Alligator mississippiensis: one gene and its partners. The protein of the gene in region 3 interacts with the protein of the main gene of each other region in a biochemical or structural test. Links are inferred from orthologs where the notes say so. Each region holds a gene or a part of one and is shown on either strand. Other genes may lie near its edges. The genes, in order: KITLG, YES1, KIT and LYN.

What was found.
Region 1: the proteins of KIT (region 3) and KITLG form a complex in vitro, tested with the Homo sapiens proteins (3 studies listed by BioGRID and IntAct, with this or other methods). The link is inferred for Alligator mississippiensis from reciprocal best matches to the Homo sapiens genes KIT and KITLG.
Region 2: the proteins of KIT (region 3) and YES1 form a complex in vitro, tested with the Homo sapiens proteins (2 studies listed by BioGRID and IntAct, with this or other methods). The link is inferred for Alligator mississippiensis from reciprocal best matches to the Homo sapiens genes KIT and YES1.
Region 4: the proteins of KIT (region 3) and LYN form a complex in vitro, tested with the Homo sapiens proteins (2 studies listed by BioGRID and IntAct, with this or other methods). The link is inferred for Alligator mississippiensis from reciprocal best matches to the Homo sapiens genes KIT and LYN.

The regions. Positions count from the first base shown.
Region 1 is NC_081827.1:84,719,628-84,727,551, forward strand, and holds the start of KITLG (kit ligand), read right to left. Parts: upstream 3,015-7,924; 5' UTR 2,809-3,014; coding exon 2,794-2,808; intron 1-2,793. UniProt on the Homo sapiens protein: Ligand for the receptor-type protein-tyrosine kinase KIT. Plays an essential role in the regulation of cell survival and proliferation, hematopoiesis, stem cell maintenance, gametogenesis, mast cell development, migration and function, and in melanogenesis.
Region 2 is NC_081826.1:89,119,766-89,127,690, forward strand, and holds the start of YES1 (tyrosine-protein kinase Yes), read right to left. Parts: upstream 3,005-7,925; 5' UTR 2,751-3,004; intron 1-2,750. UniProt on the Homo sapiens protein: Non-receptor protein tyrosine kinase that is involved in the regulation of cell growth and survival, apoptosis, cell-cell adhesion, cytoskeleton remodeling, and differentiation.
Region 3 is NC_081825.1:59,919,950-59,927,799, reverse strand, and holds the start of KIT (mast/stem cell growth factor receptor Kit), read right to left. Parts: upstream 3,006-7,850; 5' UTR 2,870-3,005; coding exon 2,794-2,869; intron 1-2,793. UniProt on the Homo sapiens protein: Tyrosine-protein kinase that acts as a cell-surface receptor for the cytokine KITLG/SCF and plays an essential role in the regulation of cell survival and proliferation, hematopoiesis, stem cell maintenance, gametogenesis, mast cell development, migration and function, and in melanogenesis.
Region 4 is NC_081826.1:71,440,576-71,447,918, reverse strand, and holds the start of LYN (tyrosine-protein kinase Lyn), read left to right. Parts: upstream 1-4,342; 5' UTR 4,343-4,448; coding exon 4,449-4,590; intron 4,591-7,343. UniProt on the Homo sapiens protein: Non-receptor tyrosine-protein kinase that transmits signals from cell surface receptors and plays an important role in the regulation of innate and adaptive immune responses, hematopoiesis, responses to growth factors and cytokines, integrin signaling, but also responses to DNA damage and genotoxic agents.

The DNA of each region.
Region 1 (7,924 bases), on a different chromosome or scaffold from region 3:
CTTTCATTTTAAGTATAGTTTTTTAAGGCCGTTTGATCTTGATCAGTTTAATTTATTCCGCTAAGGGAGCACCTTTCAAACTTTTTGGAATTTCATCTGCTTCTTAAAGATCTAGTGGGCAGCTTCCTTCCTAGATTGCCAATTCCATTCCTTTTCTTTGCAACACACATAATCCAGTTACATGGAAAGGAATAATAAAGCAATATCAAAATACTAATTTCTACTTTTTGGTTACACCCCCTCTCTTTTAATTGTGTTAGTTGCTTTCTTCTTCTGCATGTAACACTTCATGTTTCTTATGAAAAGTACTTTGTTTAGTTTCTCATACTCCAGTTTCTTCAGAATGATTCATTGTTTGTTTTTGGCTTCTTGTGTGCTTGCTATCCCTTCATCTTAGATCACAAGTGTTAGAAGGAATATGCAGCAACTTTGAAGGAGGCTTAATGATTCTTGTATGGTTTTTTTTAAAGATTAGATAGCTGAGAAAAAAGCTCTAGAAACCCAAACCTGTATAACTACCTCCAACAAGCAGGAAGCGAAACTGCTTGAAGGCTGACAGATGCTTTACTGCTGTGATAGAAACAGTTGGATAGACCATGTTTTTTAGAACCCCTGAGTTAAGCCATATGATGCAGAATGCCAGACTGCTTGGCTTTCGGGTATAATTGGTGGAACCACTATGCTTGCTTTGCCCTGCATTTATGAATTGGGGTGTGGGGGGGATCTTCATAAGTGATAACTGACATTTTTTGTAAGTTAAACATGTCCTTGGACAAGGATCACAAATCACCTTACTTGGTAACTTTTAACCATTCCTATTCCCCATACACGCATCCAAGAGTAAACTGGAATAGGTTACAATTAGTGTTTTGCTGTTAGCAATTCCATTGTAAATAAAGGTATACACTTTTAAAGTTTCTACTCTTATGTTGCAAAGAAACACTTCCAAATAATCATCTGTACTGAGTATGTAAGTGCTGGAACAATAGCTAAGGGGTGAAAGCCAACCCGATGATCTCAAGTGTTAGTTATAGCAATGTTAGCTGATCATTTTATTGTAGATATTCATTTTATATGAGTTTTCATTTTGATAAGATGTTGCTGTAATTACAGACCACTGAGTTCTACAGCTGCTACACAAGTGTTCTCTATGCAATACATTTCCCCAGGTTTTGTCCAATCCAGGTCTAAATGCCCGATGAGACAAGGGCTTCCTATTCCCTCCTTTTGAGAGACTACTTAGTCCACTTGGTAGACTATTTTGACTGCTTAGTAGAACAGTTAGGCACATTTCTGGTTATTTTTCCTTTTATTTTTTCCGTCTTTAATATTAGTTTATTGTACTAATCCTAGCTATACACCAAAACCTTAAGCTATATACCTTAAGTGAGCTACCAGGACCAAATTAGGAAGCATTCAGATAAGAAGAAACAGGTAGCAGCACATCCAGAACAAAAGCAGCCCCTAGCTGTACTGGGGCTGCTGTTACACTGTTAGTATTTCTTTCCCTTTTTCTACTAGTTTAGAGGTATTGAGCACTTTTGATGCTTACTGAAGGCAGTGGGACTTTTACAAGCACTTACTATCTTGCAGTCTCAGACATTACCCTTGACAGAGCTTTGGGGGCTTGTAAAATTATTTCCCTGCTCCTTTCTCACCAACTATGCTCCCCCTCCCCCTTTTGAAAATATACACAGTGCAGTGATTGTAATCTCATGCACAACCTAATAGCACAAAGTCCCACATCTGTACAGAGCAATCCTTTATTACTAGGGTGAGGAAGGGCAAGGGGAAGAATGCCAAACAGCTATGGAAAATGTATACGGAGTCCTGTATGGTACAAGCTGCTTGAATGAAACTAATCAGAATAGCACTGAGCTATATGTCTGTCTCTTTAGTTGGCGTTTTAGGTCCACTGTGTTTAGCACATACCTATCTAATGAGGGCATGGCTGGCAACATATGTAACTTATTTATTAAGGTTAGGTTCTTAGCGGAAATCGTCAGCGATCAGAGCCTCATCCCAACCCATTTACTGGAACTTTTCTCCCAACTGCATTGTGCAGAGGGCGAGAAGGGAATTCTTCAAGCCATCCCTCATCTCAGCCCGAGTAGCGACACGAGTAGGGAGCCTCGCAACAGCTCTGTCCCGTGCGAGGCTCCCAGGACCTGCCAAGCCCTGGTGCCGCTATCGCCTCGCCCCGGGGAAAGCACTAGCCGAGCTCCCAACCGCGGCTGCCGACTTGCCGAGCCCCGCGGGGCGGAGGCGCCGCTTCGGTCCCACCCAGCTCCTCGCGCTGGAAAGCCAAGGGCCTCCGCCAGGCCGCCCCGGTGATGCCCCAGCGCCTGAAACGCATCGCAGCTACGGGCCAGGCGGGCGGGGCTGCCCGAGCCCGGCACCCGGCGCGGCGCGGCGGGGTTGGGGGTGCAAGGGTCCAGGCAGGGAATAGAGTCGTCCCGGCGTGTGTGTGTACCTGTCAACCTGTGTGTGCGCGTGTGTGCACCTACACCTGTCAGCGCCTGTGTGTGTGCACCTATGTGTGTATGCACAGTGTGTGTGTGTACCTGTCAGCTGCGTGCGCCTGTCAAGCTGTGTGCGTGTGTGCACTTATGTGTGTGTGCCTGTCTGCGTGTACCTGTGTCGTGCTTGACTGTGTGCGGCTATGTGTGTGCCTGTGCCCGTCTGTGCGTGTGTCTATGTGCATGTGTATGCGGCCGTGCGTGCCCGGGGGAGCCGCCACCGGGCCGCGCCGCCCCAGCCCTGGGAGGGCACGTGCGCCCGGCCCCCACTCACTTGTGTCCTCTTCATAAGGAAAGGCAGCGCTGCAGTCCAGCCCAGCTCGTCGCGTGCTAACTCCAGTCAGCGGAACCGTGGCTCCGGCATGTTGCAGCAGCGGATAGTCCACGCATCGGCGGTGCCCGGAGCCGGCGCCCCGCACCCCGTGCCCACGCGCTCCACGCTCCCGCCGCGCCAGCACAGGCGGCGGCTGCAACCCGCGCCCTCCTTTTATACCCCGGCCGCCTTCGGCCGCCGCCGCGGCTGCAGCCCCGGCAAGACCCGCCCTTCCCCGCCCTCCCGCGGGACTGGGGGCGGGGGGAAGCGCGTGGCTGCGACGCCCCTTCGGGACGGGAACCCGCGGGGCCGGGGCTCCGCGGCCTGTCCTGCCCGCCCTAGTCCCGAGCGCCGCCGGGGCTGGGCTGGGCTGGGCTGGGCTGGACCGCGCTCGTGCCCGGCCCCAGGCGGCCCCTTCCCCCGGTGCCCAGGACCGAATTGGTAACAAGTTTTCAGAAAGTTTCGAGCATCCCAAAGCCTGAGGAGCGGGCTGAGGGCGGGCGGCGAGAGAGCCGGGCTGCCCCACAGCGAGGAGCCCCATGCCCGTCCCCACCTGGCAACGCCCTGCCTGCCGTCTCCCGGCTCTTCATGACATGTTTAAGAAGAAGCCAGGCAGCGAGCCAGTTAATAATAAGAAAAGCCAAGCGCCCTTTCCTCTGCCCACCTCTCGTGGCAGAAGTCATGAAGACAGCGATACTCAAGGTGCCCTGAGGTGCCTTGAACTTCTTTCAGGAGTGCCACACACAGGCAGCAGTGCTGGGCTGGGTGGCAACAGAAGCCCAGAGGTTTCCAGCAGGAATCTTGAAGGGTTAAAACCCACCCAACCTGTTGTGGTTTCTCCCCCCCCCCCCCCCCCCACACACACACACACCTCCCCTGAGGTCTTTGCAAGAAAAGAAGCACTCTGCTATTTTTTTTTCCGCTCCTGAAAACGTAGAGGTGACATTTTCCGAGGACTGCCTGGAGTCCAAAAAGGCTGTGCAGCACTGAATTAAGCAGGCCCATCTCTAGGGGAGCCTGCAGGTAGGTCCAGAATACACTTTCAAAGTCCTGAATGTGCATTTGCTACTGAGCATTCAGTTTAGTACCGCTGTGTGCGGACAGAAGTGCAGCTCCCAGCTAGGGCCGTCCCTAGTGTGGGGAGCAAAACAGGGCACGGGGCAACTGCTCTGGGCCCCACACTTTGGGGGCCCCACAGAGCTCAGTGGAGCGGCTGTGGCAACTCGGCACCACCACCAGCTTCGCATCTAGCCACTCACTACCCCCCCACCCCACCGCCAACAGGGTCCAGGGCACGTAGGTTTGGAGTGAGGGTGGGATGGGCTGATTTGCCCAGGGCCCTGCACCTTGCTCGGGTCAGCTATGCTCCCAGCTGTAACTCAGAACAATTTTTGCCAAGTGTTCAGAGTTACAGGGTTACCCCCAGACCAGACAGAAGTTCACTGCTGGCTCCAGGGTGGAGGGGAGCCTGTAGCCAGGTTCCCGTAGCAGTGGCCAGGGCTCTTTGCCAGTGCTTGTTGTTTTCAGAATGGGAGGGGAGGAAAGGCAGTAGGTGAAGCTCGTTCTTGGGGTGCCCCAGCTGGTGCTGAAGGGTGGGGTAAGTGAACTGGAGCCCCACAACTTGGGGGAGCTACAATAAACCTGCCCCAACTTCAGGGAGGGGCTGATAAACCCACAGGCTGAACTCCCTCTGCTCACTTTCCCCTTTCCCGTTCTGAAACAGAGACAGGCAGGGAGCTCCACAGAAACACCTTACAAAAGACACTATGTTTTGTAACATGTTTATCTGATACCTCATGCAATGAGGAGGTCAGATTTTCACCTTATCCGCCATTTTTTAAGCTGTTTGCAGCTGTGCACTTGTGTTCAGTCATGTCTATAAACTGCTTTTTATGGCCAGATTAGGCAAAAATTGTCACTCACTTCTGTCTGCACTGCCTAATATGGAGTACTACATAAAGGCACACTAGGCTGCCCAAATGTTCAGTAGCAAAAACCAATGCCTATTTAGAGATGCTACATGCCCAGTAGACTAATTCTACTGCATATTAGCACTGTTTTTGATGTGATGCTTTAATACACAGTAGAATAGGTTACTGCACATTAAAACGCACATGTACACACACCCAAAATGCATAGGATTTTAAAATGATGGGATCAGTTCTGGCATGCTAGCTGACTCTATTGATTATTGCCATATGTCTGTCGTGCTGGGCACTCCATCCCATAATTTCCGTCTGAAATGATGGGTCCCAGAGTTTGAGCATTAGAAGGGGGGTAGAATTTATGGGATAAACATTTCCTGAGATGTGTTTTAATGATGGCCATAGATCACTTTAGCATCAATTGAAGAGAAAGAAAACTAGCTGATAACTAGGGATCTTGGTTTTCTCTGATTTAAAAAGAATCCCCGATTTTCAGTTAAAAAAGTAACCCCGCCACTTTTTCCCATGATTTAAATGAAACACTGTTTTATGAAAAAATGTGGATTTGGTGTTACTTTTTTAAACCAAAAATTGGGGATTTTTTTTTTAATCAGAGAAAATCAGGATCCCTGCTGATAACCTACTGAAGTCAAGTTATTCTCCAAGGGAGATCAGAAGTGCCACTAGAAGAAGTAACAGATCAGTTCATTGCAGACGTTTCTCTAGTATTAACCTAGAATTCACTTCAAGACTTCAGAAAGCACAGTATTGTTTCAAGAGAAGGACATGTCTGTTATGGCATTGAATTGGAATATAAGCAATTTGGGATCTATTCCCAGATTTGCCTCTTTTTTTGTTGGGGGGGGGGGTTGTATTTTAGGTAAGTCATCTAATTAGAGACTGGGCCTCAGTTCCCAATCCATGAAATTGGAACTTTACTACCACTCTGCTTCAGAGTAGTGAATGCAGGACAAATTCATTACATGCTTTAGTTTGTCAGATGCTAGTGTGATGAGTACCATAGAGTTGTTATTTGCCTCATTCTTCTGCCTGCAGGGCTCCATTGTGCTAAGCACACGCATAGTAACAGTCTCTGCCTCAAAGAGTTTATAATCTAAACAGACAAGATAAAGTGTAGGAGAGAGGAAGCCTATAAATAAAATATCAATGCCTATGCTTGATGAAAGAAAGTGTCTCCTAGATCACTTAGAGGTGATCAGTCAGTGTTGCATCTACAGCTTACACATTTGACAAATACTGTGGGCCAGGAAATGAAAATGTTATGGCAGATTTCCTCTTGAAAACATATGGCAGGTTTAGCCTCCTAGAAGGAAGCAGTGGAAAATATGGAAGAACAATCTGTCAAAGTAGCAACTCACCTTATAGAAAATTACATTTGTCTGCATACTGAACTGCATCATCGCACTCCATCTTGGAATAGTATGGGGCAGTGGGGGAAAGAATTTAGGTTTTCTTTTACAGCAATAATTAATGCAGACTTATGCAGCATGTCCTGAATGGTTTCTGTGAGCCTATATGAGCAGCTCTCTTTCTCCAAAGGTTTTATTTTCTCGTTATACCTTCAACAAAGCTGGGAAGATGTGACAGTTTTAACGTTGGTTGATTGGGTTCCAGGAACCATGGCAGGACAAGGGAAATTTGGTCCCCTAAAGCAGGAGTGTTAAATTAATTTGGCCCGGGGGCAGGATGGGTCTGGGGTATATGCTGCATGTGGTGCTCATGCTAGATTGGCCCTGTCCACTGGATCCAGCATGCAGGGATAGTCCAAGGGCCTGATACAGACTGGCCCTGGATCCAGCATTCAGGGTCAGTCCAGTGTGGGTGCCAGATGCAGTCCATGCCCTGGACTAGACCTGCCTGCTGCATGCAGTGCTCATGTTAGCTCCAGTCCCCATGCTGGGTGCACCATACACCAAACTGGCTCTACACACTGCACATAGGCATCTACTTTGTTTTTTGCCGGTGGGTGCTTCTTTTTTTTTTGCATTCCTACACTGAGCACTGCACATGCCCAGAAGAGGCAGCATGTTACTTCAACCCAGCTGACCTGATGTGGCTCATGGGTGCTGAGCACCTGCTAATTTTTTTTGGAGCACCCATGGAGTCATTGCCTATGAGTGGGGTGGTGATCTAAGTAGTTGGAGGAGCAATCTGGGCAGCAGGGGGGAACAATAGTCTACTACCCCTTTTTCTCCCCTACTGCCAGTGCCCAATTCCCTTTGATATATACTGCAGCTAGAGGGCCAGTGAGCTGGGCAGACATGAAGCAAACTTGTAAGCTCCTACTCACGTCTATGCTCTCCAGCTCTGTAGTGGCAGGTCAGGGCTGCACATGCTAACCTTAACACTGGCCAAATGTCCAAAAGTTGGTGTGTGAGAATTGTACGGTGTAACTACGTCCTAACACTATAAATGAAAGTCATGGATGTAGCTACCACATCTGAAATAATAGCTGGCTTTTGGATGACGGGCTTCCAAACTGTTTAGGGGCCACTAATGGTACTCATGGGCGCCTAGTATTTCTGCAGAACACACAAGTGAATATCTCATCCACAAAGAATAATATAGCAGGATCTGACTGACTGCAGGGGCAGGTTCATAAACATCAATGTGAAACTGGTGAAGAACAAAGGTGCCAAGTACATGGGGGGGCCAAGGATCCTGGCTCCCCTTGGGAAGAGGGCTATCACCTGGAATGAATACAACTTTCCATGTGTCCATCTTCTTAGGCCCCACTATCCCCCACCTCCCAGCAAAAATAAGTCAGAGCCTATGGCCCCAGAGCTGTGGTGGCAGTGGGGGTTATTCTCCTTCCCTACTTGCTCTCAGGTTCCCTTCAACCCATGCAAGACTTATGCAAAGTTTCTGTTATGTATTAACTTAGGCAAAGTTTTCTGTCGTTTCTGGATTAAAAATTGTAATGGCTGTACTCAATAAATACTTTCTTCAGAGAACAAACTATTCATGTCCAAGCCATGACTTTAGTGCTACCACCTAAATTCTAATATTAAGTTTAGGTAAGAATTCAGCTAGACTGAATGGTGACAGCGATAGTGCTCTGGGCAAATACTACTAGTAAAAGTTAAATAGATTCATAGTATTAGTATACGTAATTCTTAGAATAGTGATCAGACTAATTCAATAGC
Region 2 (7,925 bases), on a different chromosome or scaffold from region 3:
CTGAAAATTTATTGCTAAGGTCTTGCTTTTGTCCAAAGACAAATAGAAATGTATAGAGCAGTAAAGTCATGCTACCACTTAAATGCCAGTTTATATAACCAGAGCTTGTTTTATAGTTTGTCACAAAATAGACATTTGTACACTAGTCACGTGACAACACACATTTACCACAGTGGAACACAGTGAATAGTTTTGATTTACTCTCTTGGAGATGCTGGAAGTATATTGCATATCAAAATAAAGAAGGTTCTATTCTAGAGCATAAAACGTTGTATTGTTTGTTCTGTTACATGAATATGGGTAACAATACACTCAAAGCCCTCCTGGTGTGTTAAAGGAATAGACTCTCTTGTAGTTTTACATTATTTTGGTACATGACATGGCAGGTAAAAACTGGCATCTGACTAACTACTTTAACTTAGTACCTTCTAACATACTACACCCCTGCAAAAGCAGTATTTTTTCTGAGCTATATATAGGGTGACCATATGTCCTGGTTTAGCCTCTGAAATCTGGAACTGTCCTGGCCATCTCAGCGTCCTAGCCATTGGAGAAAGTTGAAGCAAAAATCCCAGATTTGTGCAGACTGTCCTGCTTGCCTCCTGACTCAGAAGCCTGGCACATGTGGGCAGCTTTGTGCCAACATGGAACTTTTGCTTCAGTTTTCTCCAAGGAGCCCAGACAATGGGCTGCTCCCTGGTCTGGACTCCTCTGGGCTGCAAACAGTGTTGCTTTAACAGTAGACTTGGGGTGGGGAGGAGAGGGGAAGGAGCCACGCCACAGGGGGTGGGTGGGTGTGGGTGTGTGTGTACACACCATGCTGTCCTGCATGGTCCCGCTCCTGGGAGCTGTGGGGTTGCAGGGGGCATTTCCCCCCGCTCTGGATTTCTCTGAAATTATTATAGTTACACTAGCTATATACAATACATAAAATAATCTGACCGTTCAAATATATATTTTTACACACACATTTTTCCCCTAGAAGCCAAAATCCCATTTTGGTAGAAAATACTATGCAAAAATAATTGAATAAATTCTACTTTATAATAAGAAATACAAATTAAAGGTATTTAAGGACTAACTGTGTTCCCGCTGAAGGGACTGTGAAAGCAGGATTTGGGCCTAAATTGATGGAAAGTAATGAAAACCAACAACCAAAGACGCATAACAATCAGTTTCTGCCTTTTATCCCAGGCTTTTATTTTTCCCCTTCTGTAAACGTGTTTACTGTAGTCTTTTGCTTTGGGGAGAAAAATAATCCCTTCTGATCCGTGTATTATACTTCATTCATGTTGCAAATACTGTCTCGTTAGTACTAAGTACTAAGGCCCTGACTCCGCAAAACTTAACATCCCTGCTTAGTTTTGTGAATGTGGACTCATTGGACCCTACTTTTAAATGAAGTTACACATATGCTTAAGCTTTTGCAAGACTGAGGTCCAAGTTATATTGTTAACTAAAGGAGTTGTTTTTGAAATTTACAAAACGTGAAGAATTTATGAAAAAGCACTATGTTAACGTTACAGAACTTGGGGGAGTAGTACCCTAAAAAGGACACCTTGCCTAATATTTAATTAGCATGGTATATTTGAATAAATCACTCTCTAGAACAATATTCTACTCTACCCAAACAAAGCAAAATGGTCCATATCCCTGGTCACAAAACATGTGGAGTTGGAATTACCGAAATAAATACAACGGTATGCACTTGTTGCCTAAGGTGTACAGCCTATAGCCCCCAGCCTGCTGGTATTCACTCCCGTGCAGAACTCGATGGACCATGCATCAATAGATGACTACTCACAAGGTGCAAAGTCAAGTACATGTCTCCACAAGACTGAGGGCCTACGCTTTCTCCATCTGATTTTTTTCAAAAACAAGCAGGCTCCACAAAGGGCAACTACTGCAAACGTAAACCTGTAAGTCACTGCGCCCCCGATAGACGAGCTTTCGAAGGCAAGAGATCTCGTAATGTGGACGTTCAACTATCTCAGCCAGGTGGCTGGTCTGAGAAAAGGCATGGTCCTAGAGATGCCTTGCCTCTCGGATACAAGTCGCCACAAGGAGAACAGAGGGGAGCACAGATGCATTACCGGAGGAAAGCAGGGACACCAGGCTACAGAGGACTGGAAAAATGCATTTCCCTGATGTCTGCCTTTTCCAGCACTGCTGGGACAGAACAGGACGCTTTTACAGAGAGCTGCCTTCGCCTCCCGGGTCAACCGAGGCCTGAACCCGTCACATGAGGGCTGGAAGGGACATTAATCCCACCCCCCCACTCCCCTCCTCCAAGCAGGACCAGACCCCACTGCATCATCCCCACCAAGGCTTTGTCTTAAAAACCTCCAAGGATGGAGATGACACAGCCTCTCTGGGCAGCATGTGCCAATGCCTCCCAGTCCTGAAACCCACACGCAGCACAAGCGACCAAGGAAGACAGACAAAGCCGGGGGAGGGGGGAGAGGCAAAGAGCAAAGCTCGCCCCAGGCGCGGGTGGGAGGGACACGCAGCTGGGCCCCCACCCACCCAGCGCGCACAAAGCGAGGAGGCGCGGCGCCTTCCCTCAGCCCAGGCGGGCGGCGCGGCTCCCCACCCCCCACGCGAGACGGGGCCGCCCCGGGGGCCGCCGCGCCCCGCACCCCCCAAAAAAAGTTCCCCGCAAACTTTCCTCAGAGCCAGGCGCCCCCGCAGGAGGGCGCGGTGTGCGGGGCCTAGCGCCGCCGCGGCCTCCCCGGGGAGCGGGGCCTCACCTGCAGCTGCTCTGGCCGCTGGGTCGAGGAGGAAAGGCCGCGACCGGCTGGGCTGGGCTGGGCTGTGCACGCGGGGAGCCGGCCGCTCCGCTCCGCCAGCGAGACAGGGAGCGAGGGGCCTCCCCGCCTCCTCCCGCTGCCGCCGGGCTCCCCGCACCGTGCGGCGGCGGGGAGGGGTGGGGCCGGGCCGGGCCGGGCACGGCGCTCACACCCTGTTCCCGGCAGGCGGCGGCGCCCCTTCAGTGCGGCCCGAGCGCAACACGCCGGCCCAACATGGCGGCGGCCGACGCGCGGGGGAGGCTCTCGTTCGCCCGGCCCGGCCCGCAGGGGGCGCTGCTCCTGCCCGAGGGCCCTGAAGGGCGGGGTCGGGCGGCGGGCGCTTGCCTGCCTCCCGCTCCCTGGGGCCGGGGAATGGCCCCGGGATTTGGCTTAGGGTTGGTTTGGGATAGTCCGGGATTGGCCCGGGAATCATCCAGGATTGGCCCCAGGACACTCCGGGGTTGAGGATTGGCCCCAGGTAGTCCAGGATAGAGGATTGGGCCTGGGATTGACTCTAGGGCTGGCCCTGGGTAGTCCAGGATTAGCCCTGGCACAGTCGGGGAATGGTTTTGGAGTCCAGGATTATCCCTAGGGAGTCCAGGATTAAGGACTGACCCTGGATTGGAGTGGCTCGGGAATTGGGGCGACCGCCCCAGGCTCCACACTTTGGGGGGGGGCCCCGTGACCCATGCTGTACAGGCCTTGCGGGCAGTGCCATTGGCACGTGCTGAGGCCACCACCACTCTGCGTGGCCACCATGTGCCACTAGCTCTGCGCTTCGGCCTCTCGCCATGTCTGGCCCCTGCACAGGCGGATATGCCCCAGGCCCCGCACACCTTTAGGGTCGGTTCTGTCCGGGCCTGTCCCCAGGTAGTCCAGGGCCGGCCCTGGCACAGTCTGGGATTGGCCCCAGGGTAGTCCAGGATTGAGGACTGGCTCTGGGGCAATCCAGGATTGGCTCAGCAAGAAGACTTTCAGAAAACAGATTTGAAATCCTTCCCCCCCACCCCAGGCTCTGTCAAGAGAGTGGCTTGCGCAATAGCTGTAAATTGAGTCCCTTCCGAGGGAGTCTCCAAATGAGTAAACCTGGGCAGATGTGCAAGCTTGCTTGCTTGCAAGTTACCTTTTAAAATTTGTTCAAGTGAGGCAAATGAGACCACTGGGGGATAGAGGGGGAAGCACTGGAGTTCTCCTTCTGCTGTGTTTTGGACACTGCTTGCAGCCCCGGATCCTGAACTAGGGACAGTTCAGATGGATATCACAACAGTAGAAGAGCTCAAGATCATGTAACATCCAGTTCTACACCACCCAGTTTCCAGTGACCTCAGGCTCATGAATCAGCATTTCACATTTACAGTGATAACTTTGCAAGGAAGGAAGTCTGCCACAAAGGAGAGTTGAGAGAGAGAGTTCACCTGCAAATGCAGCTAACCTTATGATCACAAAACACAAGAATGAGAAAAAAGGAAAGCTTATAAACCAAAGGTTTCATAGATTCATAGATTCATAGATGTTAGGGTCGGAAGGGACCTCAATAGATCATCAAGTCCAACCCCCTACATAAGCAGGAAAGAGTGCTGGGTCTAGATGACCCCAGCTAGATACTCGTCTAACCTCCTCTTGAAGACCCCCAGGGTAGGGGAGAGCACCACCTCCCTTGGGAGCCCGTTCCAGACCTTGGCCACTCGAACTGTGAAGAAGTTCTTCCTAATGTCCAGTCTAAATCTGCTCTCTGCTAGCTTGTGGCCATTGTTTCTTGTAACCCCCGGGGGCGCCTTGGTGAATAAATCCTCACCAATTCCCTTCTGTGCCCCCGTGATGAACTTATAGGCAGCCACAAGGTCGCCTCTCAACCTTCTCTTGCGGAGGCTGAAAAGGTCCAATTTCTCTAGTCTCTCCTCGTAGGGCTTGGTCTGCAGGCCCTTGACCATACGAGTTGCCCTTCGCTGTACCCTCTCCAGGTTATCCGCATCCTTCTTGAAGTGTGGCGCCCAGAATTGCACGCAGTACTCCAACTGCGGTCTGACCAACGCCCTATAGAGGGGAAGTATCACCTCCCTGGACCTATTTGTCATGCATCTGCTGATGCACGATAAAGTGCCATTGGCTTTTCTGATGGCTTCGTCACACTGCCGGCTCATGTTCAACTTGGAGTCCACTAGGACTCCAAGATCCCTTTCCACCTCTGTGCCACTAGGACTCCAAGATCCCTTTCCACCTCTGTGAGGTTTCCAGCTTCACATGTACAAATCAGTCTCTCTCAGGAGTACTTATTTTCAAACCTAATTTATACGTGTATTTGTACTTGCAGTATCAGGCCAGCATTTGTTTCCAAAGTTGAAGGTGCTGTAATAATAAGCATACTAATTCACTGCTAAGTATTTTTCATGTTTTAAATAGATGATCTTGTGATTTACATTGTATTGTACACCAATACAAATTGTATGCCAGTTGTGGTATACAATTGCAACCTGTGATTTCAAACCAATGTGAGTGCATAGTTTGTTTATATCACACCCTTCCCATTTGTATCAAGAAGCAGTTTATAAAATAATAGTATGAAAAGCAATTTGACATGTTGGAATGAAACATTTCCTCAACATATATTTCATCCATCTGATCTTTTTAAAATTAGTTGAATCTTTCATTTATGGTAACTCTCCCTCAAGTATTCACATCCTATATATAGAATTGATTTTTAATTAACGAGAATAAGATTGTTTTACAGACTCAATTGCCAATGACTGATTTAAGGAGTATTCACAGCCTGGTTAAAATTCTGGTCTCGTTAACACAAGTCAGTGGAGTTAATTTTGATTTACACTGGAGTTGAATAAGAACAGAATTTGGCCTGAGGGCTCAACTGTATGTTTATATAGATGGGCAACCATTGCTGCATAGTTAATTTTACAGAACAGACACTAGGGCAAACTTACATATCTTAAAAAAGACCAAATCTTAGATCTTCTTAATACAGATATCCTTAGCATACACTTCAGAATAATTTTGTCTTGGTGAATATTAGGATTAAGCTAAAGGAGTGCATTGGCTTTTGTGAACTCTTGTAGTTTGAACATAAGATGTCAGGGGTGAGGTAACTCGATTATGGTATGAAAGCAGTTCTATTAATTCACCCAATCATGGTGAAAGTTCCTCATTATTGGAAACTTGGTCAAAAGACTCAGATGCTCAGTGCATCCTCCCATGCATTTTGATGACCATCACCCCTTAAAATGAGAATAAGCATTTTGGAGGAATTCTCATAGTGTAAATTTAATAAGGTTTTGAAAACCTGGCCTCTGTTTTTAGATGCACAGCTGGATATATGGCTATATAAACATATACAGATACATGTACATACACACATACCTGGTAGATGCAAAAATACAGTATTTGTTTCTGCATAGTTATCATATGCAAATATCACATATACAAAATACGTAAAAATAGACTTTTTAAAATTAGCCCAATTTTTTCTGGGTTTTATATTTAAATATGTAATTACATATTTATACAATGATTTTTAAAAAAATTTAGGTTACTTAATTGAAGGACTAAATCGTCTAGACACTTTTCCAATACAAATGATAATGAAGGCATAAAGTATGTCTCTGAGGAAGAGAAAGAGCAGAAAAAAACAGAGAGGAAATGTAGAAAAAGATGAAAGGTCACTGATGAGTGACTAAGGAAAAAACATCCATTCTGAGATTTTGAAAAATAAGAGTGGGTTAAATTTCTGAAGCAGTTTGGCAGAAAATTCAATTCATGAAGAAATTAAAACACATTACACTTTATGCACATAGGGAACATTTAAGGATCGTTTTTGAAAACAAGCATTGAAAACAAGGAATAAAGATGTTGTTTTAATGGTACCAGAATGATGTGGGCACAAACATCTTCAAATATTCTTTTTAGCTTACCAAATACAGCTCCAAAGTGCTATCTAAAAATCAGGCCTTGAGTTTTTAGTTACAAATTAAAGCTTTGTATTTTTAAATGTTTTGATAATGATATATATAAACCTGATATAGAAGATCCGTTGGATCTTGTGACTACTTAAAAGTGCCAGTGTGCACTTTAGAAAAAATAATTAAAATGTTATCAGGATATTTTCCTGGGAAATTCTGTTCCATGGTATTTTGTGTTTAACGATGTGCTGTTTATTAGAGATTAACAGGTTTTTCATGGTATTTGCAAAATAATTAAGTACTTTTTCTTTGAAATAGTTAAAAGCAGAATAAAAATTGAAAGGAATCCACAGCATTTTCCTGAATGTAGATGTACAGCCTTGGAATCATAGATATTGTTTTGTATTGTTTGGATTCTAAATGTATGAATATTATGGTTATATTTATAAAGTGTGAAAAATACTTAAATATAGGAACAAATATGCCACAACATTTCTGTTGGCAACTGAATCCAAAAGACATTATGCCCAGTTTTCCTCTGATATAATGACACTGAAGAGATGAATAACTCTAGAATAAGAGCAGCAACTACAGTAGGAGGCCTTATCCATACAAACATTTACTGTAAGCATGCATATAGTATTATTACTTGTGCTGTTATATCCCATCACAGCCTTGTTAATGATCAGGGTCCATTGTGTAATCACACAACAAAAAGATGATTCTTTGTTCAAAGAACTGGTCATCCCATTGACTTTTGCTTAAAATTACTATATTTACGCTAATCAAAGATGACATTGAATATAAGACAACCCCCCAATAAATAGCTTCTGTACACGGAAAATTTATCAATTTGTTATAATTTTTAATGTATATAATCTGATTTTGCAGGGTTGTCTCATATTTGTGCCCCCACCACTGCTGCTGGGCAAGCAGCTGCAGCAACATGGGAGCAGGCGGTAAGGGAGTAAAGTGGCTGGCTCCTGCTGTCTGTCCCTCTCAGCATTTGATCTCCTTGCAGCCTGTATTCCCCCTGTCTCCAGTGCCTGTGCACCCTGGGCCCAGCCCCTTTCCCACAGTGCCTGCCTCCCCCCTACCACTTGACCCTCCTTTCCCTCTGTGCCTGGCCCCCTGTAGTGCCTGCCCCTGCTCTTGCCTGCCCCACACAACATCTGCTTACCCTGCTGCCTTCAACCCCATGGCCTGCCCTCCCCCGCCTCCGCTTCTA
Region 3 (7,850 bases):
GCATGCACCAGAGGTGTAGGGAGGGAGGGAGAAAATGAGAGGAGATTCAAGAACACCTCACAAACCTCACAAAAAAGAGCAAGCTACAAAATGGAGGAAAAGAAAAAGGTGACAGCATAGTGAGATGCAAGGGACAAGGTGTAAATGGCTTAGTTTGACAAGAGAAACTGTATTATAGTTCATGATACCAATTCATTCTTTAACTGCAATAGAGACAGGCATTAAGGAAACAAATGCCTGACCTACTTACATTAGATCTAATGTAAATGTGTATATGACTATATGGAAATAATTATACTTTTGCCCAAAGATACATGTCTTTACTACAGAGAGACTTACACACTAGACTGTTCATTTCTCATTGGTATGAGCAAATCCATCTAAGGTTGCCATTCAAGGTGAGTGCAAGTAAACCTTGTACTTTCTATGTTAGAGCCTGGATCTGGTGACCTTTAGGGCATGTCACAAGACAGACCTGTTTTCTCAGGCTTTTCCTGAGGAAGGGGAGGGCTAATTGGAAGACGGGAGACAACCAGCAGACTGCATAAGGGGCTGGGACAAGAAATGGCATCTGGAGGTAAGAGATCTTGAGGGAAGTCAAGCATAGCTGCCTTTTATATACCTTGTAAGAAATTTGAGGGAGTAAAATCTTGTAAGAGAGTTGTTTGTTCATTTTTGTAGCTCCTTTGACCTGTTGCTTAATTTGTTCAGGGAACACAGTGCAACTCTGAGCAGGTTTTATATATGCACATGTGTTTTATCCATCTTTTAACTGAAAGTATATATCACAATATATATCACAGACTATCATGAAATAAAACAGGAGTCCATGTTTATGCATCCATTCTTACCCCATCTCTCATCCCACAATAAAATGCTTGCAAACATACAAAACCAACTACTGCAGCTACCAGAGTTATTTTATTAGGTTTATTTACTGCCAATATATGAAACCTGTGGCTAAAAATTCTACTACACTCCCCCTGTTCCTGAAATAGTTATTTGAAAACCTCTGCTCCAAGGAGTTGAGAGTAAGAGCCACCACCTTTCATTTAACATCACCGTTCATTGCTTTCCTTCATCTTTAGATGCATCTAAAATAGTAATGCAAGTATTTTTAAGGAATCACGTTACCATTTTTGGTGCAAACAGTGGGCCAAATTTATTCCCAGGTGGGAGTAATTCCTCAAATATTAATGCCCGGCTCTCATAATACTGCAGTGCACCTTGAGACCTACAAGTGAAAAGAGCTAAAAAAGTTTTGACTAGGTGATCCTCTAGGGGACTGTAGATGACCCTTTCACCCTCATCTTCAAATGATTATTTTTCTTTTATAGGTGGAGAAACTGAGAATGAAAGCAACCTTCTGCAAAAATCATGCAGCAGGCTATTGCTGGTACAGAATAAAAGTCTGTATCATTACAATTATACCAGAGACAAAACTGGTTCACTAACGCCTCCTGTTCTCTTCCTTCACTAAGGAATTTGAGGAGGGAAAGGTGAATGTCAGCCCAACAGATCAACATTATGGGTGCAAAGGTGTTATTAGTGGCTTGGACTGATTTTGTCATCGTCTGACCTCCTATGCAATCAACAGGTAGACTGCAGTGATATCATGCTTAAGCTGTTAAGAGACTGATTCTGCAACCTTTCTTCATACCGATTCTCCTTCACGAGCCGTCTCAGTGACATCTGCAGGACTGCTCAGAGGAATGCAGAACTCAAAGCCAATACATACATATATGTACAAATAAAAGTCCAACTAAATTAAACAGCCCGTCAGGCCAGCGGGAGTAAAGCGCAACCGTTTCTACAGCCAACAGGTCCACAGAAGATAGTGATGTGACTTAGCATCACATGACTCAGACGACTCACCCTGAACAACTAGGGACCGTTTACAGCTGGATCAACTTGTGGGCAGCCTTTGAGGGGCCTTTGAAGCCAAGCTCCTACACACGCATCTGGCCCCAGAGCACGATGCCTTTGTTACTCCCCAAGTGCAACTGTTTCAAGCCCATCACCATTCCCGACCCAGCCACCCAAAGAAAAGATGGCAACGCAGCGGTGACGGTGAGCGGACCCCGTCTGGCAACCCTCCCTATGCAAGCACAGCGGCTGTCCCTTGGGACCATTCTTGGTTGCACCCTCAACGGGGCTAAAAAACCCATAAGAATAAGGACAACTCCTTTAAAAACCAGCAGCGTGGGGCACTTTCACCAGAAAAGACCAGCTGCCAAGCAGTGTCTCTCTATCACCAAGCCTGCAAGCTCCTGGTGTGGGGACACGCTGCGGGGAGCCAGGACAAGTGACAGCCAAGATCTGGCTAGGGATGGTCCTGCCTCAGGCAGGGGAGTGCACTAGATGGCCTCTGCCAGCCCTCCTAGCCCTTGTGGCCCCGGGAAGGAGCACAGCCACCCCGAGGGGGATGTTTCCGCCCTGCCGGGGTGGGGGGGCCCGCGGGGACACTTGATCTCCTTGTTCCCGGCGCTATCATTCACTGGACACCGGCGCTTTGTGCCCACGAGCCGCGCGGGGAGCGACACAACAACCCCCGCCCCCAGCCAAGGCTGGTCCCGAGGAGCCCCCGACCGGCTGGCTCATGCCCCCCGGGCCGGCCGCGCTCCAGCCTGCAGTGGCGCCAAGGGCCGGGCCGAGGACCCCGGGGCTCCCTCCCCGGGCTGGGAGCGGGGAAAGTTGCGGCGCACCCGCTCCTGCCTCCCTGCACGCCCCACGCGGAGGCTCCCCGAGAGCGCAGCCAAGCTGGCGAGCCGGGACCCGGCGTGAGGGTCGCACCTGTTGGAAAGCGCAGCAGGAGCACCACCAGCAGCAGCAGCCGTGCGAGCCCCCGGGCAGGGAGCGCGCCCTCCATAACGCCCGTCCCGCGCTCAGCCTCGCCGCGGGTCCCCAGCGCCCGCACGGACAGGCGCCTCCACGGGCAGTTGTCGGAGTACAACAAACACCACCTGCTCCTGCTCCTGCTCCTGCTCCTCCTCCTCCAGCTCCAGCCCCGCCTCCGCACCTCCTCCCGCGACCCCGCCCTGCTGCCGGATTGTCTCGGGGCTGCCGGGCTGGCTTTGCGCTCCCCCCCACCTCACGTTTAAATTGAGTTTAGCAACTCTTTGCCCACACCGCCGATGGCGGCAGTGGAGGATCTGGCGTGGAAAATTCTTCACAAATCATTGGCAGACAAGATTTTTTGGGTAAATCCAGTATCTTTTACTGGAGTGCAACACCCTTGGTCAGACAAGAGGGCATGTGCGCTCTACTTGGATGGAGCAGTCATTGGCGTTTCTTTTGAGGAAGAGCAGTGGTTCTCAATCTGTGGTCCAGGGACCCCTGGGAGGGGGTATCCCCTGACTATGTCTAAGGGATTCCCAACAGATTACTGTGATCAGTCATAAGTATGAGAATACCCACACAAGTCAGAGGCGTCCGCAATTTCCAAAGGGGTTCACATAAAAAAAGGTTGTAAACCACTGAGCTAGAGGAAAGGCCGCATTCCCCACCACCAAGGTGCAGTTAGCACAGGGGTGAGCAAAATACGGCCCGGGGGCTGGATGCGGCCAGCCAAGCCACTCTATCCGGTCCGCGGGGCCCCTAAAAAATGTAGAAAATTAATATTAATCTGCCCTGGGCTGCCTGTCATGCGGCCCTCGATGGCTTTCCGAAACTCAGTAAGTGGCCCTCTGCCCAAAATCATTGCTCTCCCGAATTAGCAACTACTGATCTGGTGAGGTGATCCCACAACTGCAAGAGGCAGCATGTTGGTCCTAGGATGTGTTGTTCAAATCCTCAAATACTAGGGAGTGGGATCAGATTCCCGGGCAGAGAAGGCTTAAAACCTGCACAGCAGCTGGGTGAAACCCTTCTCCAGGCAACCCTTGCAATGGGAGGTCAGAGTAGGATTGGGCTGAGGGAAGGAGGGAAGAAAAAAGAAAACAATAGCTGCAGTTTACTTCATTTGCAAGAAATAAAACCTGATGTGAGGATTCTGGGATGCGGTAATAGGAGTATGTCCAGGTAAGACATCATAAAGTCAGACTCCCAACTTCTGAGGCCTCAGCTGAGGTACAGTGTCCAGCTCACAACACTGCCCTTCCAGATGTAGACATATTGGGAGGAGCTCAGGATGATTAGAGGCTTAGCAAATGTGACTTTCATGGAAAGGCTGAAGAAAATGGGTTTATTTAGATCAAAACAGAGAAGATTGAGGGGGGACTGAATACAGTCGTAGTCAAAATATGTAAAAGGCTGTTAAAAAAGGGATAGTTTTCAATTCTCAGGAAATATGGTCATTTTAGCTTAATTTCGACAAGAGAGATTTAGCATAGATGGAAAAACTTTTAGCTAGGAAGATAGATAAGAAGTGAAACAGGCTAACTACAGAGTCCCTGTAAGTAAAATAGGTGAAAGCCCCTCTAGATGTTCAGGCAAAGGCATGGTAGTATCTGCTGAGCAATCCATATAATTGCACCTCCTGCCATGCCACACATGTATGGCAGGAGGCATGCTTGTGGGATCTAGCAGCAGAACCTCTCATGCCTTACTGCTGGTACAGGGGGATCCTGTGATCACCATTCCGGTCTGCACCAGCAAGCAACACTCTCCCATAAGTGTGAGTCCCATGGCTTCTGGGGCTGAGGGTCCCGCAGCTACCACAAGGTCTGCAGGGACTCAAAGTCTGAAGCTATGGAGCACTGCTGGGCAGCAGAGTCTCATCAGCTGTGGGACTCTCCATGCTGGCATCTGTGGAACTGCTGGGGCTGTGAGTCCCCTCAGCTGCAGGACTCCCAGCTCTGGCTGTGTATGGTCCACCCCTCTGGCTGGGAGCCACATCAGCTAATATGGCTCCTAGCCACAGGGGCAGACCCTGCTACTGAAATTGCAAACTGAAGCTGGATACAAACCGGCTATAAAGTTATTACACATTTTCCAGCAACAACTTTATAGCTGATTGGACTTTTTTAGGGTGAGCTAGTTAATTTGTACAGGTAGCCAGTCTAAATTGTACAATTAACTGGGTAATTGTGTGATACATACATATAGAGGGAGCCTAGTTAGACAAATATTAGTCAGGGTTGATCTAGATATACTTGTTCCTGCTTGGGGAGGAGTGCTGAACTCAGATCTCATCCAGGCATACCTTTCTATGATTTCCATGATTCCATAGCTTGCAATCAAATACTTTTGACTAAGATGAAAGGGGAAAAAAGAAGGGAGATAACTCTTTTGAGAAAGAATTACAATGTATAATTATGTAAACATCTTGCATATATAATTATATATTCATAAATATTGGAATTTTGGCTTATATATTAATTAGCATCCATAGAAATATACATAAATCTATACTTAGCAGCAAGAATGAAATTGCATATCATTCAGAGATAATATAGTATATGTCCTACCTTTCATATCGGGGTGGGCAACATTTTGGAGTGGGGGGCTTAGCTCTGACAGCAGGTAGCTTCCCACCCAGCCTGCACTGCCACTGCTGCAGCTGCAGTCACTACTCCTGTCCCTGCAGTACCATCACCATAGCTTCTCTTTGCTGCCCAGCTGCTGCACAGGCAAAGCCCCCAGCCACCAAATCCCTGCACAGAAGCTCCCCTTATGCCAAAACACAGCAAAAGCCCCTCATGTCTACAAACCAGATGCAGTGGTTCTGCGGGCCATAGGCTGCTGACCCCAGTTTTATACGCTGTTGGTTGTCAGTCATTTTCTTAAACTGCTGGGGTGAAAGCACATTACAGCATGTGACTCTAGACGTATGAGTTCCTATATGCATTCAAAGAATAAATTCCTACCAGATAGCTGAAAGAATGCAGTGCTAGATAGGAAGACACAATTAAAGAGTGTTAAAGAAAACTGTCAAGGAAAAGAAAGCTTGTTTGTTGTTTGCATAAGGATTTAGAGCAAGAGAGAGGACAAAACTTTCAATAGTGAGATGCAACCAGAATAAATGTAGACTTTTTCAAGTGTGTCAGTAAAGATCAGAAAAGCTACTGAAAGCAATATATTATTTTTTAATTTTTGTTCACCATTGTCAGATTTCTCCAAGGTTAATAGCATTGTCCCATATGGTCCAACATTAGATGAAAGTCTTGTGTGGAATGTTTAAAATGGCTCTCACCATTTCTCTGCTCTCTTTCATCTTAGACAGCTAGTCTCTTTTGATGGGTGGTTCCCTCCTTTGCCTGAAAAGTAGCATGCAGTTTTATTTTTTAATAGTACATACACAGTTTTTTTCTCAAATAGCATTCCTTAAAATAACATTTATTACTAGGGGTCAGCCTCACAAAATTAATATTGGAAAGTGACAAAAGAAATCTTAAGAGATGTTTCTTTGTTTTAAATATTTTTGGGAGTGTCTTTGTTTCTTCAGAAATTCTTATAGTGCTTTTGGGTACTTCTTGCTTAATTTGTTCAAGATGCAATTGGTATAAAATGCATCATATAAAGATCTCAGAAAAAAGTTCTCAAGGGTTCATTCTGACAGGTTTCTCCCCATTCCTCTTCTATTGTCAGTCTTATGTCAGTTATGGGCACTGACTTTATTTTGGGTCCTGAACAGCAACAAGTAGACAGGGTCCAATTCAGCATGGCCTTATGCTTTGGACAGTCATTTACACAAACATAAAGCCACCACCAAATCAGAATGGTAACACTCCATGTTTCTGCTGCATTGCTGTAAATGGCCAGAGCAAGAGCAGGTCAAGGAATTGGACCCATAGTTACCAAGTATAATGGAATAATAATGATGAATGAATGTGCCTACTTCTTCTACCTCTGTTCTCATTATTGGATTTCATACACGTTTCATAGTTTCATAGTAGTTAGGGGTCAGAAGAGACATGAATAGATCATCTAGTCTAACCCCCCCGCCACTGGCTGGAGCACATGCTGGGATCACACAACCCCGGACAGGTGTTCATCCAAATTCCTCTTGAATTTACCCAAGGTAGGAGCAAGGACCACTTCCCTAGGAAGTTGGTTCCAGATCCTGGCTACCCTGACAGTGAAATAGTGCCTCCTAATCTCTAACCTGAACCTATTCTCCAGCAGCTTCTGGCCATTGTTCCTCGTCACCCCAGGTGGTGCTGGGAGGAATAGGACCCTTCTTATTTGCTGCTGATCTCCCCTAATGAGTTTGTAGGCAGCCACCAAATCCCCCCTCAGCCTCTGCTTGCTGAGGCTGAACAGGTTCAGGTCCCTCAGACCCTCCTCATAGGGCCTGCCCTGTTGCCCTCCAGCCAAGCAGGTGGTCCTCCTCTGAACCCTCTCAAGGCAGGCCACATCCTTCTTAAAGTGAGGTGCCCAGAACTGGACGCAGTACTCCAGTTGAGGCCGGACCAATGTCACAGTTCTTCAAGTGATGCTAGGTTTATGGATTTAGGGAACTCCTGGAATGTTTTCATCCAGATCAATTAGACTACTCATTGTAGTAAACACCTTACTAAATCTAGAAAAATCACTGACCACGGTCATAGCATCAAATGATTGGTGAACATAGAAAAGGTCTTGTGTTATTTTGGTACCTAATCTCTAATTAAATCCATTTGGATGTTAGTTTAGCTCAGGGATGTCAAAGATCCATCCTGTGGAGCCCCTTCCATCTGGCCCACTGGGCTACTGAAATTTGGAGGCAGGGCCAGAAGGAGGGCCTGCCACAGAAGTCAGGACACTGGGCCCCAATGGTGCTGTCAATTGGCAGCAGGGCACAGAGCCAGAGCTGTGCAGATATAGCCTTTGCTAACCCTGTGCCTGCTGGACCCCTACCACCACCCCCAGAACTCCGCCACTGCTCACAGACCCTCACTGGCAGACCCACTGCTGTTGTCAGCCTCTGT
Region 4 (7,343 bases), on a different chromosome or scaffold from region 3:
TTTTAATAAATCCAGGAGTCATTAAGTGTGACATGGTTTTTTATTCTCGAGGTGGAGCACCTTGCATTTCACCATATTGAATGCCATCAGCTTTTCATCTGCCCACCTTGGAAGCCTATCAAGGCTGACCTGGATCACCAGCCTATCCTCCAGTGTGGACACTCTTCCTCAAAGTTTGGTGTCGCCAGTGAACTTGGCCAGTCCACTTTTGACACCAGTGTCCAGACTGTTTATAAAGACAGTAAAGAGTTACAGGTCTGAGAACGGAGCCTTGGGGGATGCCACTGGTCACTGACTGCCATGTTGATTCAGTTCCATCAACTACTACTCTCTGGGTCCAACCTCGGAGCCAGTTCCCCAGCTATCAGACTGTGGAGTAGTCGAGGCCGCAGTTGCTCAATTTTTCCATAAGGACATCATGGGAAACCAGGTCGAAGGCTTTTTTAAAGTCCAAATATATGACATCAACCTCTTCTCTTTTGTCCAGGTGATACGTCACCTGGCCATAGAAGGAAATGAGACTGGTCAAGCAACACCTACCCACAACAAACTTGTTCTGGCTATCCCTCAGAATGTAGCCTTCTGTTAGCCTGCTTGTCTGTGAGAATACAGATGTCCCACCGAGCTGAGACTTCAGCAGCAGAGACCCTGAATTTGCCAGTGGGCAAGAGTGCTGCGGGCAGAGGAAGAGAGGCAGCAGAACTCCCTGGGTTCTAGAGACACCAAGCCTCACAGGCCACGATTTAACCCATCAGGTGGCATGTCACCAAGGCAATATGCCTTTTATTTAAGGCAATAATGCCTTTTATTGGATTTGTGGGCCATTTTATAAAAGGTTGAAATATGTTGAATTTAATTTTATTTCCCATCCAGCCTTTAATTTCATAGCATGTTTTAAGCATTGTCTTTATATTTCTTTATGCTCTGCATTGCTTTTGATCTTGTGAAGAATCTTTAGTCTTAGCCATTCTTTGATCAAATTGTAGGGTTTTTTCCTTCCTTTTTTAATTCAATAACTAGCTCTTCAATTATGGCCTTGTCTAAACTATTTTCAGGTTCTGTAATAGGGTTTCACTTAGCATTCAATGCTTTTCTTGCTTTTCTCCTCCACATGTCCCTGTGTGGGCAACTATATGACATGATATAAACAATGAAGATATTAATATCTGCACTGTACATTTTATTTCCATTTGACTTTGGATGGCCCTAAAAGCATAAGAACAATTTTGGAGTATGAATAGTTTATTATGATACACAACCTTTTTTTTTTTTTTCAGCATGTTGTTGATTATTTAAGGTTCCTCTTTCATGTTTTCTCCCTATAGTTTTTTTCTTTTTTTAATTTAGATCTTCTGACTAGCTTCAGGTCTGTGCCTCTGAGATGTGGAGTTAAATCTAAGAAAAATAATTACTGAGGTCTTTGGTCTTTCATTTATATAAGCATTTACTTGTTTATGTAAACAGATTCTTGTGTACGTAGAGTTCTCAAAAAAGTTACATATCTATCCTCTTTATCAGATAGGAACTATGTCACTTTAAATGGGATTTTTTTTCCTGATATGGATAACAATCTTTGTTTGTTCTTTTTACAAAATACAAAATATGTATCTGAATCCAAACCCTCTTCATTTTAGTCAGATCTTCCTGAATGGATAAGAAAAAAGTTTCTGATATATCTCCAGTATCTTGTACCTGGCTGCAACTTTTTAAGATTATTCAGCAGGTTTTTTTTCTTTTACCAGTTTATTCAATAAATTACATTTCAAGAAAATAGTTTCTAAGTTCTCCTAGCCTCTATTACTGGCAGAGATGAAGAGAGCTTTTAAAATCCAGGTCTGTTTTATTTACATGAATTTTCTGATGCGAAAACTTTTTGCAAATAGAGTAAGGAAAAAATAAGGGAAAGAAGAATGTGTACCATGCACTGATTTCCCTTGTCATAGTCCATAGTCTATTTTGGCTAGGGAGTCCAGCCTGTAGAGGAAATGGGAATTTATGAGGCCCTATCCTACAGTTCCATTCTGAGATTGTGACAGAATTTCAATTTCTAACAAACAATTTTTTGGTAGCTGAGTTTCTATCAAAATATGAAAATTTTCATTAATATTATAAATGAAATTGTACTTGTTTTGATTTTTGTCAATTTCTACTGGAGAAGCAGTCTTCACCTCTAGTCCTCTAGTGCTTGTGGGGGGGGGGGGGAGAAAAAAGAGAAGAAAAAAGGAAGTCTTTCAATTTCTGTTGACAGAATTTGAAGGAAATCCCTTTGTGCAACACTTGCAGAGATTATTTTATTACAGACTCTGAGTATGCTAACTGCATTATTTTAAATGCACTTTATGTTTTGAATAAAGCAATTATTCAGTTCTACCATTACCAAAGTAAAATAAGGAATTGTATAATTTAAAATGTTTTAATGAAACAACTATCTTTATCACTATCCATATATTATTTTCTTTTAAGATCTTGTATCATACTAGAATAAAATAATCAATAAAGACAAAATATTGAGTTTTCAATAGTTCAGCTCTGCTTCTCCTGTCTAGCTTGGAAATCTGCTGGGCACATGCCAGTAATTGTATGGATCCAACTTGACTTTCTAAGACTTCCAGGAATGTCATTGCTTCCTTTGGATCACTGAAGACTTTCATTCCTGTAATGCTAGAGAATAAACTCCTTGTAGCAAAACAGATATCAGGAATGAACATTGGTACCAGTCCTGAGTTTCTTCATTGCAGAAATCATGGCATGTGGAGAGAGAGAGAGAGAGGCAGGAGTACTTGGTGCAATCTATATTACGTGGTCACTTGGGACTGATCTACCAATGCTGTAAAGCATGCTCTTTTGCTCAGGTATTTTAGGCTAGGTACAGACATTCAAAAAGCCCAAGGTGGAATTAATCTAAATTACTCAGTTTTCTGTAAACAACAAAGTTTAAATTGGTAGCGAACGGAACACATATTTGCCCGTCACTGGGGTGACAGCCTTAAAAAAATATTCACCTTTGTGCCAGCTTTGTATCAGCCCCTAACACCACTTGGCTAGTCCCAAGATTTGGGTCTGCTGTATTCCCCAGTTTTAGTGCTGTGCCCCTAAAATTCTCACTTGCAAAGTCTCTTTACTACTTTTAACCTCTTGTCTGCTCAGAAAGTAGACATGTCTTTAGTTTGTTGAATTGTGGCTCCTCAGTGCCCCACCAAATTAAGGGGGGATTTTGGTTTTACCTAGTGTGTAACAATCAATGCTTGCAATGCACAGCAAATAGGCCTGCATCCAGCAGGGGGTTGGACTTGAGGACCCTTAAGGTCCCTACCAGCCCTGAATTTTTTTATGCTCAATGAAGAGCTGGCTCCAGCTATTTTTTTTCCCTTTACCTACCCTCTTCTTATCAGACCAACTTTTTAGGACAGTATTTTTCAACCTTTTTAGACTCAAAGCATCTCCCATTGGCCTCCTGGTCACCTCAGAAAATACCAGCTCTTAGTTTTCACTTGGTTTTTTGGACTATGGAAAAATAGTAATGGCAATTTTTCTGCTGTGGAGAATTCAGAAAGACCCCAGCAGGTCTGGAGGTGTTGGACAGATTCTTCCTTGAAACCTCTGGGCCTGTCTTGCTAGTGGTAGCTAGCCTGGTTAGCCTTGAAGTGGGTCAGAAGGCAACTTAGACAGACTTTCAGGCCAGGTACAGACATTGTACTTTTACTGCGGTTGGAAACTGGGCTGTACCCGTAACAGAACAGAAGTTCGGCAGGCAACCAGTGGGCAAGAGGGTTGACTGGCATAAGTGACTGGTTTCCAATAGACCATAAGCGACCAATAGCTTGGAAACCAGTCTATACCCATAACAGAGCAGAAGTTCGGCATCTGTAATCGGGTTAAAAAAATGGCCCAACCTGGGGTAAGATTTGCCCAGCCCCCCAGGGCGAATGTGCGTCCTGTTCGCTATAGGTCTAAACTAGGCTGCTTACAAAGCCCTGCCTCGCTGAGATCAGCTCCCCCTCGGGCTGTTTGAATGTCTGTACCCAGCCTCCCAGAGGAGCTGGCATTAAGTAAGATGCGCAGGGGGAGCCCAAGCCTGCGTGCGCCCACCTGCACTTCAGCAGGTGCCCAGGAGCGGCCCCTAAACCTGGCAGCCCCTGAAAGGCTCTCGGGGCAGCCGGAGCTGGGCTGAAAAAAAGGGGGGCGCTTAGGCTCCGGCAGGCGGGAAGGGCCGCAGCGCTGGGGCCGGCGACGCCCCGCTCCGCCTGCCCTGCCCTGCCCTGCCCCGCCCCGCCCCGCCCGGGAGGAGACCAGGCACCCTCGGCCAGCGGCGCTGGGCGCGGGGAGAGCCGGGATCCCCGCCGGGGCGCCCGCGGGGGAGGGGGCTGGGCCGGCCCGGCCCCGCCCCGCCTGGTTTGTGGCGCCGCGCCAGGCCGGGGCCGCGGAGTTTGATTCCTCCCCCGGCGCTTATGCAAATCTCCCGGCAGCAGGAAGCGACCGCCAACTCCGCAACTGCCCCGAGCGCCCGTGGCTGCGCAGGGAGCGGGCGCGGACAGACGCCTTCCCCGCGCCGGCGGCTCCCGCACTCGCGCCACCGTGGAGCCCGGGACAGTGAGTGTCGGGGCCGGGCGGGCGGGTGAGCGGGGCAGGCTCCGGGGAGCCCTGCCTGTTGCTTTAGCAACCGGGTGTCTCCAGTGGGACTCGCTTGGGAGTGCGCGCGCGCGTGTGTGTGTGTTTGTGTGCGCGCGCGGTGGGACCCGCCTTGGCGGCGCGTCCGCGAGCAAAACAGCTTGGGCGGGAGGGAGCCGCGCCGGGCTCGGGCTCGGGCTCGGGCTCGGGCTCGGGCCGGCGAGGGGCTGCGGCTGCTTTGTTAGGGCCCCGCACCTGAGCGGCACCCTCCGCGGCAGCCCTCGGCCGGGCGAGGGAAAGGAGAAGTCGTGCGGGAGCCATCTGGTGCAGGCAGAGCCGGCTCGAAAGAGGAAGTGCGAGGCTGACTGGGCAGCCTGCGCCTCTGCCTCTTCGGGGAACTGGGCTTTGAACATCAGATAAAATTAAAAAAAAAAAACCAAGAAACTTCTGGTCTGTTATTTAGAGCAGTGGTTCTCGACCTTCTTTGTACCAGGACCCATTTGGAAACATGGATGGCCAGTTCCGAGCCGGTCCGAAGCTTAAGTAGAAAACAGCCCCCTGGCCCTGGCCTCCCAGCCTGTGCGGTAGGGGGCTCCGGAGCAGCCCACAGCTCTGCCAGCCTGCAAGGTTTCCCATGGTTTTCTCCTTTAAAGGAGAATCCATTTGTAAAGTTTGTTCGGGACCCTTTCATATAGTCTTCTGACCCACGTTGGGTGTTGCGACACGCAGGTTGAGAAACCGACTTGGAGGACACCAGAGCTGTTTTCCCGGTGGCTAGCTTTTCTCCTTTTTTCCGAGGAAAGGGTGTTGCCACTGTCTATACTCTTCCACCCCATAGAGTCCAATTTTTAAGCAAATGAAAGTATTTTTAGGTGAGAGGCTTTCTAAAACCAGCTTTGTGTTTCCTACATGGCTCCTTCTGGCATACTTGTGTTCAACAACACCACCGCTACTACTAATTGAAAACGAGTTGGATGGAGTGCCAGGAAGCACGTAGGACTACTGAGTCAGTTTCCTCATGATCAGGGTTAGACGCTAAGAAGTAGGCACCTCACCAGGTCAGTCCTGAAGGCAGGATTGTTCCCAAGGAAACCATCCCAGCCAAGTGTTTTCTAAACTGCTTTTGAAAGTTTCCAAGCATTCCACAGCTTCTTTAGGGACAACCATGCAGTCACTCAGCAGATGGCTGGTAATGGATTCATGGCAGTCACCACTAGACTTCTGGCTCAGATTGGACAGCCATCTGGGGCTTCGGCCCTGAATAACCTGAAACAGGTCTTCTTTGGGAGTCATTCATAGCCTGTTCCAGTGCCTGACCACCCTCCGAATCAGAAAGTTGCTCCAGCCTAAATTGCCCCTTCTGCATCTTGAGGCCATTGTTGCTAATCCTGTCACCTTCAGCTGCAGAGAATGCCCATCCTCATGAAAAATAATCATCAGGCATTTGAAGACTGTTATCAAATTCCTTCTCAGTCTTCTCTTCTCCGTACTAAATAACTGTAGCTCTTTCATCCTGTCCTCAAAAGTCTTTCCTCCCAGATCCAGAATAATTTTTGTTGCCTCGCACTGAACTCTTTACAAACTACTTACATCTTTCTTGAAGTGTGGGGCCCAGAACTGAACACAGTACTCAGGGTGAGGCATCACTAGTGCTGAAGAGAGAGGAAGAATCACTTCCCTTGATTTGCAAGTGACACGCCTGTTCATGGGCAGATCTAGGACTTGAAAAGTGAGGGTGAAAATGGTGTAATAAGGATAGCATATAACAACGCATTTTTCTAGGTAAAAAAAACTAGAAGCTTTGCTAATATGCAAGGAGCCTATGGCTTTCTTATTCAGTTTAAGATATTTGGTTTTGCTTCTATAACTATTGGCATGTGTTAATTTGTTATAGCATATGTTATGTATTGAAAAACAAACAGGCAAGAATAATTAAAAGATCTTGTTCCTGTGGTCATTACAATTAAATGGACATCTCTTTCAGAGTCACACAACAAAATCAAGCTGCCTTAAGCATCTTGACAGTGCATCCAAGCACTGAAAGTTATTTCCACACATGAGTTAATGTTTCTAGCTAGGGTTAAAAATCATCTTTGGGGCTATGAAATAGGAACTACATTACATGGAGCCAATAGCAGGCAGCAGAATTACAGAAGAAAGAATTGCTTGATTAGTGATACACTGAGACCATTAAAAAAAAAGGAGAGAGGGTCATTAACACCTGTGAAGTGAAGAGTTTAGAAGGCATCAAATAGATTATAATGAGCTGTGAAGTCCTTCCAGTTCCAGGCAATTTGTTTTAAGCTTTGGGTGGAGCAGGAATCAAAGAGGAGGGCAACTGCACTGCCCCCCTTCCCCCCATCCACCCCTGCTGCTGTTGGTTTGTTGCAAAAAAAAAATCACCTCATTAATTCATATTCAGTTTATGGTCCACTGTAATTCTGAGGTTCTTCTCTTCAGAACTGTAACCTAGCTAGTCATTTCCCAGTTTGTAAAAGAAAAACATGTAGCCCTTTAGATAATCTAGAATTTGAATACAAACTATCTAGTGAATCTGATCCTGGCATCACCACACAAGTTACAACTGCTGTTTTTCAGCTCGAACTTAAGTATGCTTCTGAGTTGTTTAAAAGAAAAAGAAGAAGAAAAATGAAAATGGTATTGAGATATTGCATGTGTGTGTTTTCTTACTGGCTGCCATAATAAGCCTACTTGGTTTCGAAGGAAAAATATGT